2 linked regions of the Drosophila melanogaster genome follow. The protein of the gene in region 1 purifies or fractionates together with the protein of each later gene. This does not show direct contact. Each region holds a gene or a part of one and is shown in the gene's direction. Other genes may lie near its edges.

Evidence for each region. Proteins that work in one complex are often made in the same cells at the same time.
Region 2: the proteins of CG15279 (region 1) and HIP-R purify together in Drosophila melanogaster (affinity purification with mass spectrometry, with the first as the bait; one large-scale study listed by BioGRID). This does not show direct contact.

What each region holds. Positions count from the first base shown.
Region 1 is NT_033779.5:14,845,591-14,854,004, reverse strand, and holds the start of CG15279 (uncharacterized protein), read left to right. Parts: upstream 1-2,255; 5' UTR 2,256-2,723; intron 2,724-4,816; exon of another isoform or gene 4,817-4,863; 5' UTR 4,864-4,882; coding exon 4,883-4,966; intron 4,967-5,027; coding exon 5,028-5,331; intron 5,332-5,750; coding exon of another isoform or gene 5,751-6,000; intron 6,001-6,947; coding exon 6,948-7,215; intron 7,216-7,510; coding exon 7,511-8,252; intron 8,253-8,311; coding exon 8,312-8,414.
Region 2 is NC_004354.4:3,788,100-3,793,579, forward strand, and holds HIP-R (Hsc/Hsp70-interacting protein related), read left to right. Parts: upstream 1-1,869; 5' UTR 1,870-1,977; exon of another isoform or gene 1,978-2,030; 5' UTR 2,031-2,064; coding exon 2,065-2,237; intron 2,238-2,317; coding exon 2,318-2,439; intron 2,440-2,656; coding exon 2,657-3,303; intron 3,304-3,377; coding exon 3,378-3,569; 3' UTR 3,570-4,378; downstream 4,379-5,480. UniProt on the Drosophila melanogaster protein: One HIP oligomer binds the ATPase domains of at least two Hsc70 molecules dependent on activation of the Hsc70 ATPase by Hsp40. Stabilizes the ADP state of Hsc70 that has a high affinity for substrate protein.

The sequences.
Region 1 (8,414 bases):
CCATTTAAGAGCTAGAATATCTACCGTGCGGCTATCTACGTTCACTGAGCACCAGAAAAAAACACAAATAAGTGGGCCAGAATCATTTTCAATTAGCGCGCAGCTCGGAACATTTATGGGATTTGTCAAATATATATAATTTGAGGAAAACTTTGTTTTATGGTTCCGTGGCTTTTTGAACCCGCAAATAAACATTTGCGTAATGCTCACAGTTTGTCCCATTGCCTGTTATGCAAAAGTTGTAAACGACAAGGACGGCGAAGAGTCCTCCGGCATAGCTCCTGGATATCCTGTTTTATGCCCAACTCCCCTTCTCCAGCTTCTCGCAAAAGTTGCCGCAGTAATAAAGGAGATTACCGTGCACATAACATGTGAGTAGCCGGAGTCGAGTCGGAGATAGAGAGGGATTGGGCAAGGTCTGAAATGATTTCTGGCCTGGCCACAAAAGCCAAGGGATCCTTTGAGGCGGTCAGGACATGGATATACTGGACTCTGCAGCTTCTGCCGGTAAAAGAAAGTTGTACAGTTAAAGCAGCACACTCATAGAATAAGCATTCAGAAGTGCGCAAAAATTTTGAACTACATTTTCTTATGTTCTCCTTTTTTTCTACTAAACGTTGACCACAATGAGGGGACGTCTAAATGGATCTACTTGAATTTGCTTGAATAAAATGATATTATGTTTCATCATAGTTCGTAGTAATTTTTTCCAGTCTTGACTTACCTCGCTCGATCGCCCCTTATTTTGACTTAATTCAATAACTAATATCTTATGACAAAAATTCGCTTCTAAATTTGTTTATATGTATTTATTTACAACGTACATGCGGATAAAGTCATTTTTAAGCTATACCACCAACTTGGCTTTGTACAACTTTACCTCATTTTGACACCAACCCTTACCTGCTCTGCAATATTTAAAGTAAAGTTGGTTTAAAATTGCAATCTGTAAGTTTTTCGGTCTCAGCCACCGTCATTTAATTTGAAAGAGCAACAACAGTAAGCGCATCAGCAACTAAGCCGAAGAGTTAAAAATTTCTTAGCCAAGAGTTTTGCTTAGTTTTTAATTGCAATCAAAAAGTTGTGTACCAGGGAGCGATGGAGGGAGCTCACACATAGGAAGGTCCATTTGGCTACGCTCTGGGAAGTGGACAGTTTGGCCAGTCGGTCCAGTTTTGTCACACCCAAGGTCCCAGTCATAATGACAACAAGCAGAGACCCACTGAAATGGCAATAGAGGATGAACCCTGAATGTTGCATTTGAGAAGGGCGTCTAGAAAATCCCCGATGGCTTGGAGTGGACCGCAAAATGGCCATGCAACCAATTCTCTAGCATAAAACAAGCCAAGACCATACCCCCAAACACGTTGTCCTTGCCCATAGCTTCGGTCTTCAGCACATTGGCAAAATGCTCCGTGCAGACTTAATGATTTTTGGCTTAAAGTTTTACCAGTTAGCAGTATTTTTGCAAGTAGTTAACATTTTATGAGACAAACCACCCCACACACCACTTACTCGGACCAAATGCCCTGGGGTTTTTGTTTTATGCATTTTCCAGCTAGCCCACGAAGAACTCACTCGCTCTCCGGCGCTTTTCCTATCTTATGGGGGAAATCAACGGCGGAGCTAGACCAATTCCAAGACCAAGACCAAGATGATGACGACACACAAAAACGAAGCGAAACTTGATAAAAACTTTTATCATAACAATTTGTGTTGTTTTGCTTAGCTACCCGCTCCTCGTGCTCCGGCTGCCCAAATAAGAACAATGGGTCTATGTGTGTATTTGGTGTGCGTAATGAGAAAAGTGTAAGTGCATAGCTCAGGGCTGTTAGACGGCTACAGTTCGTCGCTTAAAGCATTTAAGTTTAGATCTAGCGGTATTTTAATTCACCAAAAATATTACATCTTGTTCATGTTCCATGTTCAAACTTAATTAAAGTATATATACCGATTTGGTGCCTGAATCTGAAAATATAAAGGACTATGGCTCTAAGCTCTCAATATAGTAATCATTTTTATAAACAGTCCAAATATACCTAATTTCTTATTTACATATTTCAAGTAACTCATACCGTAGCTAGTTAGGTTACCAACCAATTTGGCGAAGATCAGTCGTCATAGACACCAACCCAATCGTCATCAAACTGTAGGTTGAGCTTTCACCTATATTACTGGCGGCAGTAACGATGGCTCGAACGACGACGGCTCTAGAGTCAAGTTCACAATAAAACCATCGAAACCTTGCCCTGGCTCATTCAGTTGGCTGCTGGCGCTCGGCTTGGCTTTTTGGCTATTTGACTCACGCGATCGGGAAACGCGTTTCGCGGCAAAGGCTCTTGCAATAATAACGGGTTTCTCGGATGCGACACTCTCGGTTCGGAAGCTTTTCTAAAATAGCCAAAATCGTGTATGCCAATCTGTTAAACCCTACAGTCCCCAAAACAATAACATTAAAACCAATATAACTTTTAACATTTTTCAAACTCATAGCCTTGGCTTGGGCAAAGAGTTTTAATTCAACAAAACTTCAGCCGGTTCAAAGCTGTTTTAGCCGACTGGCACTGGTACCTTGCCAACATTAACAACCACTACCGACAACAACAACACCTGCAAATCAGCATAAGCCCAATTGTCGCACAGTGAATTGAGTCGAAGTGAAGGTGTAATTATCCATAGTGTACAAAGAATATCGAGTTTAAGAAGTGGCTAAAATAAACCGGGTAAGTCTCCATAAATCAGCTCAAGGAAGCAGAGATCAAATTAAGCTGCACCAGGCGTGTCCTTGAGATTACAAGTTTTATATGTACGTAGCTTAAAATTAGGAAGCCATCGGATGGATTAATAGGCGATTAACGTAAATTTTATTATTTTAAAATATTTTTATTGTTAATTAATGTACTGCTTCTTAAATCCATTACATCTTTGTGTATTTCAATACATTCAGTATGACTTGACCTTTTCTACCGTTACTACTAAGGCAATTATGACGGGAATGACGTATACGCAACGTGGGTAACAAAATCATAACACTGAATGCGTGCATATTAAATAGTGGTTCGCCTATCGATCGTTATCATCCGTTTGTTTTGGTACTGAGCGCAACAAGTTGCCCATATAAAAACACGTTTTTGCATGCTAATGCCCTGACGGTAGTCGATTGAAGTGTTTGGGATACAAACTGAGCAAATTTGAATGCGTTTTATTGTACCATTCATTTGAATATAGGTAGGTGTAAAACTGTTTGCAATGCAGGAAAATAATAACAAATGCATCAAATGAATTGGTAGCTTTAGTAGAGGAAAATAACCGAAATATTTAGCTATTTATGTAAGCACTTCATTTCCTTAAAGCTTTTTAACTTGTCTTAAAACTCATATTATAAGATGTAACTAGATAAAACTGCTTCTGACCAATTACGGATCTCTGAAATTAATGACGTCACGTTACCCATTCTCTACATTTTATTTAAAGAACAACAATAAAAGAAAAAAAAAATAGAGTTCTGATCGTCTGACTCATGCCGCGGGGAAATCACTTTTTTGTCGCGACGCCGACCATTAAGAACTGAATATTTTTAAGCAGAATTCAAAACCAGTTTTATAATGAGACCAACATAAATAAAAAATGCAAATGCTTTATTGCGGATTTAGACGTCAATCAAACATATTTGTTTCAGGTTCTCATGAGTCTTTTTTAAAAATAATTGAAAATAGAGGAGTAAAGGTTTTCTGACCCCTTCACTAATTAGCTGATTTTAAGATTTAATTGATATTTGATAATCAATGTATATTTTATGCAAACATTGGCTTAGTAACAATTTTGCTTGTTTTAATGGTGCAATAACTTGTAATTTATCGTTGTGGCCATAACCTGATATTTTAAACTATAATATCTACACTTGCTTGCCATAATGATATTCAAGCACTGGTGCAATCTGAAAAATAATCGGAACTATTTAATAATTTGAAAATGTTATATTTTCTTAGTTACTTTTACTTAATCAGAAGTAAAGTTTATATTGACATTCTATCCCTAGAGAACTTAACAATTTCGACAATTGTATGAGACAATAGAATGAATTTTATTTAACATGCCAAATTTCAATCAAAAAACGTGCTCCCTTACTGCAAGTTTATAATTGAAAATTAATGCAAACAATACGTGTCAATATTTTTCCAACAGTCAACCGGTTCATCAAGTCAACCATACCTATATTTTGTGTGCATACAAATGCATATAAATTTATACACATATATCATTATATCACTCACGGTTTAGCAGTTTTATCTCTCACACCAATTAACAACTTTGTGCCGTAAATGCAACAAGGTGTAAATTGCTTAAGTGATTCGGTAAATAAAGGACTTTATCTTCAGTTCGTTCACATAATAGTTCAAGCCATTATAAATACACAAACGTAATTTTTCAGCAAATTTAAACACTGGGTCGATTACTTCCAATAAATAGAAACTAATAGGTATTAGCTAAGAATCTTTGAACCACTCAAAAATATATATAATTTTATGGGAAAAAATTATTTTCACAAGCTGTGAGAAAGGTGAGAAATGTTTAATATCTTTTACAATTTGTAAACTTTCCAGAACATTAAATTTTTAAATCTCTTATCATGCCCAGACAAGTGCCATATTTCAGTATCTAAAGGGCAATGCAGCGAATCTCTCTTTGTATCTTATTAACCATCTAAGTTTATCTGGCTCGTGACAGTGACATCATATCTTATCTACAAGATCAGTGGGTTAGTCTGATTGTCAGTTATACAGCTTCAACAAAGAACATCCTAAAGACAATTCAGCTTAGTTTTAGTCCACAACTCGATGCTAACGGAACGAATAATTTCAGTTAGATTTACACTGGCAATATGGATACGACGCAAAGGAACCACCAAAATCTAGCCTTCGTGGGCGACGACGGACGCAGTACGGCCAGCACAGTGGAGATTTCGGTAGGCTTTCTGTGAAACGGTTCGAACATAATCCACAACCCAACTAATCATCGTTCTATAGACCAACAGTCCAGCCCTGCGAGATAATTCCGATGACCAGGAGGCAGCCAAAGTGCCAGAGGAGCGTGCCACCTGGGGCAAGGGCGTGGAGTTTCTGATGTCCTGCATCGCCATGTCCGTGGGTCTGGGAAACGTGTGGCGATTCCCCTTTACTGCCCTCGATAATGGCGGTGGCGCCTTCCTCATACCATATCTCATTGTCCTGTTCCTGATTGGCAAACCGATTTACTATCTGGAAATGGTAATTGGCCAGTTTTCCAGTCGGGGCTCGGTTAAAGTGTTCGATTTGTGCCCGGCGATGAAAGGTAAGCGTCCCAGATTTCATTGCAGTCAGTTCGAAGATGTCATACTCTTGTGCGGATAGAACATTTTTCAGACTAATTAAAAATTGAGATATAGAAAAAAAAGAAGCTATTTAAAGTAACCTTTTTAAAGACAACGCAACCTTTAAAATTGGTTAAATATACTTTTTGAATTGTAATTTAGTTACATTTGTGTATTATAACTGTATTATAATACAGTTTCTTAAAAAAATATTTAATATTGCATGTGTACCTGACGGACCATTTGATCAAAAACTATTTAGTTCAATCAAAATTCTTTTTTGAATATTAAACTACCCCATATCAACAAGAGTATGACAATAGCGAACTGCAGAATCTACATCGTCATTCTGTTCATCAACTCGCCCGCTCGTGTCCCAAATACGCGACCACATCTATAGGTGTCGGAATCGGCCAGGTGATATCTATATCCATGGTGACCACCTACTATGTGGCCATAATGGGCATAACCCTGCGCTATCTGTACGAATCGTTCCGGTCGCCGTTGCCCTGGTCTGAGTGCCGACCGGAATGGGAATCCTTCTGCGTAGCGTCCAGTCTGGGTAACACCTCCCAGTCCCTGGCCAGTCCCATGGACATGGATAGTTTGCCCCAGCGGCAGCCAGTGGCATCCGCGGAGTTGTATTTTCTGTAAGTGGTTTGTTCTCTCTCCCTGTGGTTGTTGCCCTCCGATTGCCTGTGTCATTGTGGATTGGTTGGTGGTGTTGCAGTGGCATGTTTTTCGATGGTGTTACGGGTATGTGTGGGTGACTGTGTACTGTGGGTAATCTTATCGCGGCTCGGAACTCGAAATCACAACGGCATACTCAAGTATATGGCCCGGCCGACAAAGGCGCGGAATGTCCGCTTTATTGCCCGACTAATTGAATGAGTGCCCGCATCCCTCTGGCGACAATTATGGCACCCATTGCCATCAATTGTGGTGCAGTGGCTCTGCAATAGACCGATGCGATTGCAACAGCCAAACAGAAAGTGGATACCATTCACTGGCAGTTCAATTGACAGCCATCACCATCGTCAATATCTGCATCCAATTTCAGATTGAATAACTCAATAACAACAATGTATGGCCTTGACCCAAACTTGAAATATTTTAAACACGTATACGATACAATTCTGCGTTTCTTGAACTCTCTCAATAATCACGATCTCAGTATAAATACTTGCACTATATCTTAAAAAAGAAATAATTTGAACGACAAAAATATAAACTGAAAATATATTTTCATATTAACTAAGATTTCCTGAAATAGACGGAAGTTCTAACACTTAAATGTTTTAGCTAATTTTCAAGACGTAACACTTTCATTATTTACTAATCTAATCGTTAGGACATTTGAGTATATAATCCGTTTTGTTAGTAATGTTATTAAAAATTATGCTAAAGAAATTACTGATTTCTTATCTTAACTATGACAGAGAACACTTGCCAACGGCTTCTCACTAACCAATTTATGTTTTAAGCTTCCTTTTTCCAATCATCCAACCATCATAGCACCCAAAACTCTCTTCTATCCCATTTGATTTGTGTTTAAACTCTTTCTTCTCGTAACTCGTTTGTTATCGAATGGATTAAGGTGTTGGAGCTGGCCAGGCTTTCCAGGTGTTCATGCTCAGCACTTACTATGCCGCCCTGGTAGCGATAATTGGCCGATATTTCATTGAATCATTTCGCAACCCATTGCCCTGGTCCACATGCCGTGCGGAATGGGGTATCCACTGCATTAACTCAGCCCCCGATGCGAGTAATTGGTCTCAACTGGAAAGCAATGATCAGCGCCCGCAAAATTACACAATGAAATCACAAAACGATCGGGTCATCACCAGTTCGGAATGGTACTTTGTGTAAGTTCGAAGTGTCGGGGACAGTACTGTTAAGAAATTCACAAATTGACTATTTATATGACTAATATTGTCTTGCAAGGTTTAAAATGTAATTCTAGAAATCACTTTTCAAAAACATTTATAAAAAAGTTCATATATATTGATGGTCATTTGGTGAACTTCCTTCCAGTAATGAATGATAGTCGCATGAAAATATTAGTTTAGTTTTTAATGGCTTTTGTTTAACTTTTAATACTCGGTGGTGGTCTATATTAAATGATATTCGTGCTGATTAAATTCTATCCGTCCACTGTAGTAAGGAAGTGCTGCACGAGAAACCAAATATCGAGGAAGGAATCGGCCTACCAAACTGGGAGTTGGTCATTGGACTTTTTATCGCCTGGTCCTGTGTGTTTTTCATTATTCGTCGCGGAGTGAAGAGTTCGGGAAAGGCATCCTACTTCCTGGCCCTTTTCCCGTACGTCATCATGGGTGTTCTTCTGGTGCGAGCTGTAACTCTGCCGGGATCAATAGACGGTATATACTACTTTATAAAGCCGCAATGGGGAAAGATTTTGGACCCGAAGGTTTGGTACGCGGCTGTAACTCAGTGTTTCTACTCCTTGTCCGTTTGTTTCGGCAACATCATCATGTACTCCTCGTTCAACAAGTTCGGGCACAATGTACACAGGGATGCAGCAATTGTAACGGGTCTGGACACTATGACCTCTCTGCTAGCTGGATTCACGATATTCGGTATCCTCGGCCATCTGGCCCACGAAATCGGAACCGATGACATCGGCTCAGTTGTGAAGGGCGGTGCCGGATTGGCCTTCATCTCATATCCCGATGCCATTGCCAAGTTCAAGAATCTGCCACAAATCTTCTCAGTGCTGTTCTTCCTCATGCTCTTCGTGTTGGGCATAGGATCGAATATAGCCATGACCTCCTGCTCGGTGACCGCCATTCGGGATCGGTTTCCCAACTTTGGGCAGTGGCAGTGCTCGCTGCTCATCGCTGTAGTCAGTTTCTTTATTGGATTAATGTATATAACACCGGTAAGTATTAAATACCTGCACATTTAGCGTATATTCTCTATTTTTTTTGTATATTTTAGGGCGGTCAGTATATGCTGACTCTTGTGGACTTTTTCGGCGCCTCAATGATTGCTTTGGTACTGGGAATCGCCGAGCTGTACACCATTGGATGGATTTATGGCA
Region 2 (5,480 bases), on another chromosome or scaffold:
GGGGAGTGAAAGATGCAAGATTCATCCAAAAGCGAAAAACATTTTTTTCTTAAGTCTACGCAAAACAAAATGAATGAAAAGTAACCCGAAATTAGTTTTTAGAGTATAAGTATAAAAAATGGAAAATATCGCGATAGAAAGAAACAAAAATGGACGCAGATAAGGACGGCAAGCAGAACAAGAGTAATAAAGCAGCGGCAAGAACTCCCTAAAAATAGCAAAGAGCATTGTAAATATTTATATAAATAATTTATGCCTAATTAAAGTTTAAATTAATGAAGAAAACCAGCAAAAAAACATAAAAAACCAGAAGAACCATTTCAGATTTGTATGCAAATTTGTATATGTACGTACTTTCCTTTAATTTTAGCCAATCAGTTTGTAAGATTAAATTTTTTTTTTGCATCTCTATAAAGAATAATGATATGAGGATAATGATTCCGATTTTTTTTTCCGTTTAATGTAACCGTTAGAATTAGCCCATAATGGTCGATATCTAAATGTGTGTGTATATCGATGTGATGTCATCGATTGTCGATAACGATTGGATGCGAGTGTGTGTTAATTTAATTTGATAAAAGATAAAGGAAAGCAAGGAATGTGAAGATAATGAAAGGAGATGCATAGAGAATGAGAGCGAATCTATCTATTATATAATTATGTAAAATGCACATCTTTAAATTATAAATTATACATATTTAAAAGGAAACTATTATTATTATTTTGATTACCATTATCATTATTTTTTATTATCACTTAACGGTTTCGGTTTGATCCACAGCGAAACCAACAACAACCAAGAAACAGAAACAACAAAAAGAGAAACAAAATAAACAAGCGAAATGTTTGATAAAAAAAACCACGAGATGTTTTAATTTATTTGTCTTTAATTCTTCGATTTTATTGAGTTTTTCATAGAGAAAGTTGTCACACTCAAGAACACACACGCAAGCGTATAAAGCTAAACAAATTAATACCTACTAAGTGTTTAAATAGTACTAAACGAATCAAAATATAAATACTTAAAAAGAAAAAAAAACGAAAATAAAAATAAAAACAGCAGCAGAAAAAAACGATGAGACAGTTGAGCAGACGAGAAAAACAAAGCCCATTAAATTATTTGTTGAGTATTTTATTAAAAAATAATTACGATAATAATTAAAAAGTTTAAATTGAACGAATTACGAAAAACAAACTGAATATACATATATGTGTGCATATATACATATATGTATGTATTATATATAAACAAATTATTTAATAGTTATGCTAAAAAATTATTTAAAGTGAACGGATATGAAAAATATTTGTATGCGTGCGAGCACGGAGAGAAGGGCACTCAGAATAGGCCATCGACACCACCCACTCCCTTCCGATACCCGAACATCACCACCAGTTTTCACCATTTTCTGACCCTTAACCCCTTCAACCAGACACACACCAAACACAAGAAAAGGCGAAGAAAGCCGAAAAAAAAACAATGCAAACACGAAATAGGCGGCGACGACAGAGATAAGCGCGAAGAAGATACTAAATCAATAAGTAAACATAAAAATTAATTAATAAATTAATTCCAAAACAAAATGAAAAAAGCTAAAAAAAAAACATCAAGAAAACAAAAGACAAAAGCAAACAAAAAACATGACGAAACATTGAAAATAAAAAAATACTAAAATGATTAACAGAAAACTGTTTTAATGTCAATGGGGGCAGACATAAACTTCTTCAGCAATAGTTATGGACTTAATTGTGGCTCATTACATTCTCGATCCTATGTGAATATATATGTATTTAGTTTTGGGGTATGTGGCGGAAAATGGCTGTTATCTTTTTAAAAGTTGTCACATTTTCCAGCACTATCGTACGCACAAAATACTGAAAAATACAAGAGCGAAGCGATAAATACCGTCGATTAATTCTCAGTACTTTTTCATGGTATTTATGCATACCAATCGATAGGGCAGAGCAAAAGTGGACGTAAAGCTAAGCAAATATTGCTTATTAATAATATTAATATATTAATATATCAGATCTGAAAACATCGAGACAAAACGGAATTCAGAAATGGCTTTCACAATGCAAACCGGGGATCTGAAGAAGCTGAAGTACTTCATCGACTTTGCGCTTGAGAATCCCACCTTCTTGAACATGCCGCAGCTGCAGTTCGTCAAAGATTTCGTGGAGAAGTTTGGTGGCACGGTGCCGCCTGGCCAATTCAACGGTGGCAGCGCCGGAGGGTAAGTTAACCGAACTATTTGACCAATTTTCAAAACAACACGATTGTATGATTTGCTCATCCCGCGGCTTGTTCTTCCAGCAAGTGCCCATTCGGCGGTGTTGCTGGTGCCAAGGCCAACGAGCCGGCCAATGCCCCCGAGGATAGCGAGGACGAAAAGTCCCTCTCCGATCCTGAGTCGGACGTGGAGCTGGACATGGAGGGTGAGTGTGCAAATTTTGCCGAGTCACGTGGTCATTGGGGGTCACAACCCTGGACTTTGATGCGTTGCTGTCGCAGTGCTGGCAGTTGCTTTATCTTATATCCTTTCGACACTGCAAACTTAGCGTTTACCCAAATTCGAATCCTGCAGTATTAATATATGTAATACGCCAATTAAAACTATGTATCTTCTATCCGTATTACTTCCGACGCCTTCAGGTGTGATCGAGGCGGACAGCGACCCCGCCCAACCCATGGGCAACTACAGCAAGAAGGCCACCGAAGAGGAGGTGGAGCAGGCGAGCGAGCTGCGCGCCCAGGCGGCCTCCGCTTACGGCCAGCAGAAGTTCGACGAGGCCATCGCCTTGTACACCAAGGCCATTGAACTGAGCCCGGGTAATGCCCTTTTCCACGCTAAGCGTGGTCAGGCCTTCCTCAAGCTGAAGAAGCCGAATGCCTGCATTCGGGACTGCGACGTGGCGCTGGAACTCAACTCGGATTTGGCGGCTGGCTACAAGTTCAGGGGACGCGCCCGTCGCCTCCTCGGAGATTTTGAGCTGGCTGCCCATGATTTGCGCCAAGCATGCAAGCTGGACTTTGACGAGGAGACAGACGAGTGGCTAAAGGAGGTCACTCCGAATGCCAAGAAAATCGAGCAGCATCGCTTGAAGCAGGAGCGTCGCCAGGCAGAGCGTAAGATCAAGGAACGCCAGCGGGATCAGAGGCGCGCACGTAAGGAGCAGGAAAAGCACAATGCCAGCTCTGGTGGATCATCTGGAGAATTTTCCGGTGGGAATCCTGGTAACGGAAATATGTCTGATATACTGGGCGCCATGTCAGATCCCGAGGTGTCAGCCGCCATTCAGGTTCGTGAATACTACTTTTCTATTTCTAATACAAATGCAGTAATCATATCGTTGTTATTTATTAACTTTCGTAGGACATTTTGTCAAATCCGGGTAACATCACAAAGTACGCGTCGAACCCGAAGATATACAACCTTATCAAGAAGATTGTGCCCGGTGGAGATGTGGGTGCTGCCTTTGGCCAAGCGGGTGAAAAGGCTGGAAAGCCGAGCGAGCCTAAGCCTAAAAAGGACTCCGCCGACTTCGTCGATGACGGTTTGGACTAAGGTTTAGAAATGGGGCAGTAGTAAGACTGAAACATGCGTCGATAAAAAGAAGTTAACAACCAATTACACGAAATCGAGCGAGATTACAAAACAACAAAGAAAGAGAAAGCAACAGAGTGCGGTGAAGAAGATGGACTACACGAAAAACAAAAGGGAAAGCGGCTGCCTTACACATTTTTGCAGCTGAGAAAAAACAAACATTTCCTAAGCTTTAACTTAACCAACACGTAAAAGAACGGGCGACAATGGAGAAAATTCAAATATTCAAAATACTACAAGCAGTCAGAAGAATAAGCAACATTTATTTAAATCGAGAAGAAAGAGATGTTGGAGATGCTGGAGACGCTTCTTCACATATTATTGAAAAGCATACTTGCGGCCATTAAAGTGGCAAATGAAACTATACAAAGGAGCTAGAATATGCTTAAAAACTTATCACATTTGCAGTTCACAGGTAAATCAAAAGATTGTCCTGTGACGAACAAAACATAAATGTTTAGACGTCAAGTCAGATTCAAGGGTGCCGATCGATCTAGTTGAACTAAAGCTCGAGAAACAACCAAAAGAAAATAAAAAATATATATATGTTCAATAATATTAGCCTAAATTACCGAGAACGAAGAAACGGATAAAACTAATCGCATCATTTGGTCAAACAAAATTGTACTGAGTAGGATTTAAATCATATTGTAAGCAAATGCATTTAGCCCCCCAACATGAAAGCAATCGCCCATTCATTCACACACTCATTCACACACTCATTCAACCAGTGATCAATGGAAATAAATAAACGAATCAACAAGAACCCGAATTGCTAATGTCCATATTTTTTGGTAAACGGGTAAAAGGGGAGATACTTTTGCTTTTTTTTCGAGCGGGTTGGACAGATGGAGCCGTAGTCCCTTAAACTATCCGGCGCATCACCTGTGTGGGTTGCTCACTTTGTATGAAGGACATTGGGTACGCATGGTGTATGAAAGCGTCGATTAGACGCTTCAATGGCTGCACCCTGCACCCTGGATCCAGAACCTATCTACCGCACCCCGCCCCATGTCAGCGCGAAATTGGCTAACGGACAGCTTGGCGCACATGTTCGATTATGGCCAAATCGAGCGACCAAGCAGAACCAGCGGCACATGACCTGGGCTCAGCGATGCCAAGACCTGGGTGGTTGTACCTAGAGGTACTTGATTGCTTTTTAAACTCAGCTTGGTACAGCGTACACGACTGATTATTTAGAAGCTATGACAGCTTTCTTTGCTTTGATATTTTTCATATTTATATATAAATTATAAATATATATTTATAAGCAGGTGATATGGTTGAAACATATATCAACGAATATGTCAAATATAATACAGTGAAGTGTCTGCATTATTTTATTGTACCTGCGCCATCACAGGTACGGCTCCTCTTTCCATCGACTGCAGACGTACCGCTTATGTGCATGACTGGGTGTCCGGGGTGGTGGATGTGAATGTGGATGAGTGGCAGGAGGGCGCAGGCGCAGCTCAGCCCAACAGCCAAGTTGGTCTGGACTCCTGGCGGCCCATCGCATTCCGTGGCCAGTCGCAGCGCGAGACGGTTAGCCAGTTAGCCAGTGCGGACCGACTAATTCCCAATTTCCGCTCTTGACTAAACTAAAGATTGAGAAATAAAGAAAGAAATATCCTTCGTCCGTCCCCCAGACGAAGCAGGTCAATTTTTTTTTCGTGTTACTTGCTCTTTTTCGCCAAGTGTGAGTTGTGTGTTTTGGCTTGGCTAACGTGATTGAAATCGAGACAGCCGGGACATCATGATTGTCAACATGCCCGTCAATGGAACGGGCAGTGCATCCAGCCCAACATCGAATCCCAGCAGCAACAACAACAACAATAGCAGTACCACCAATCAAAATGATACGAACACTAA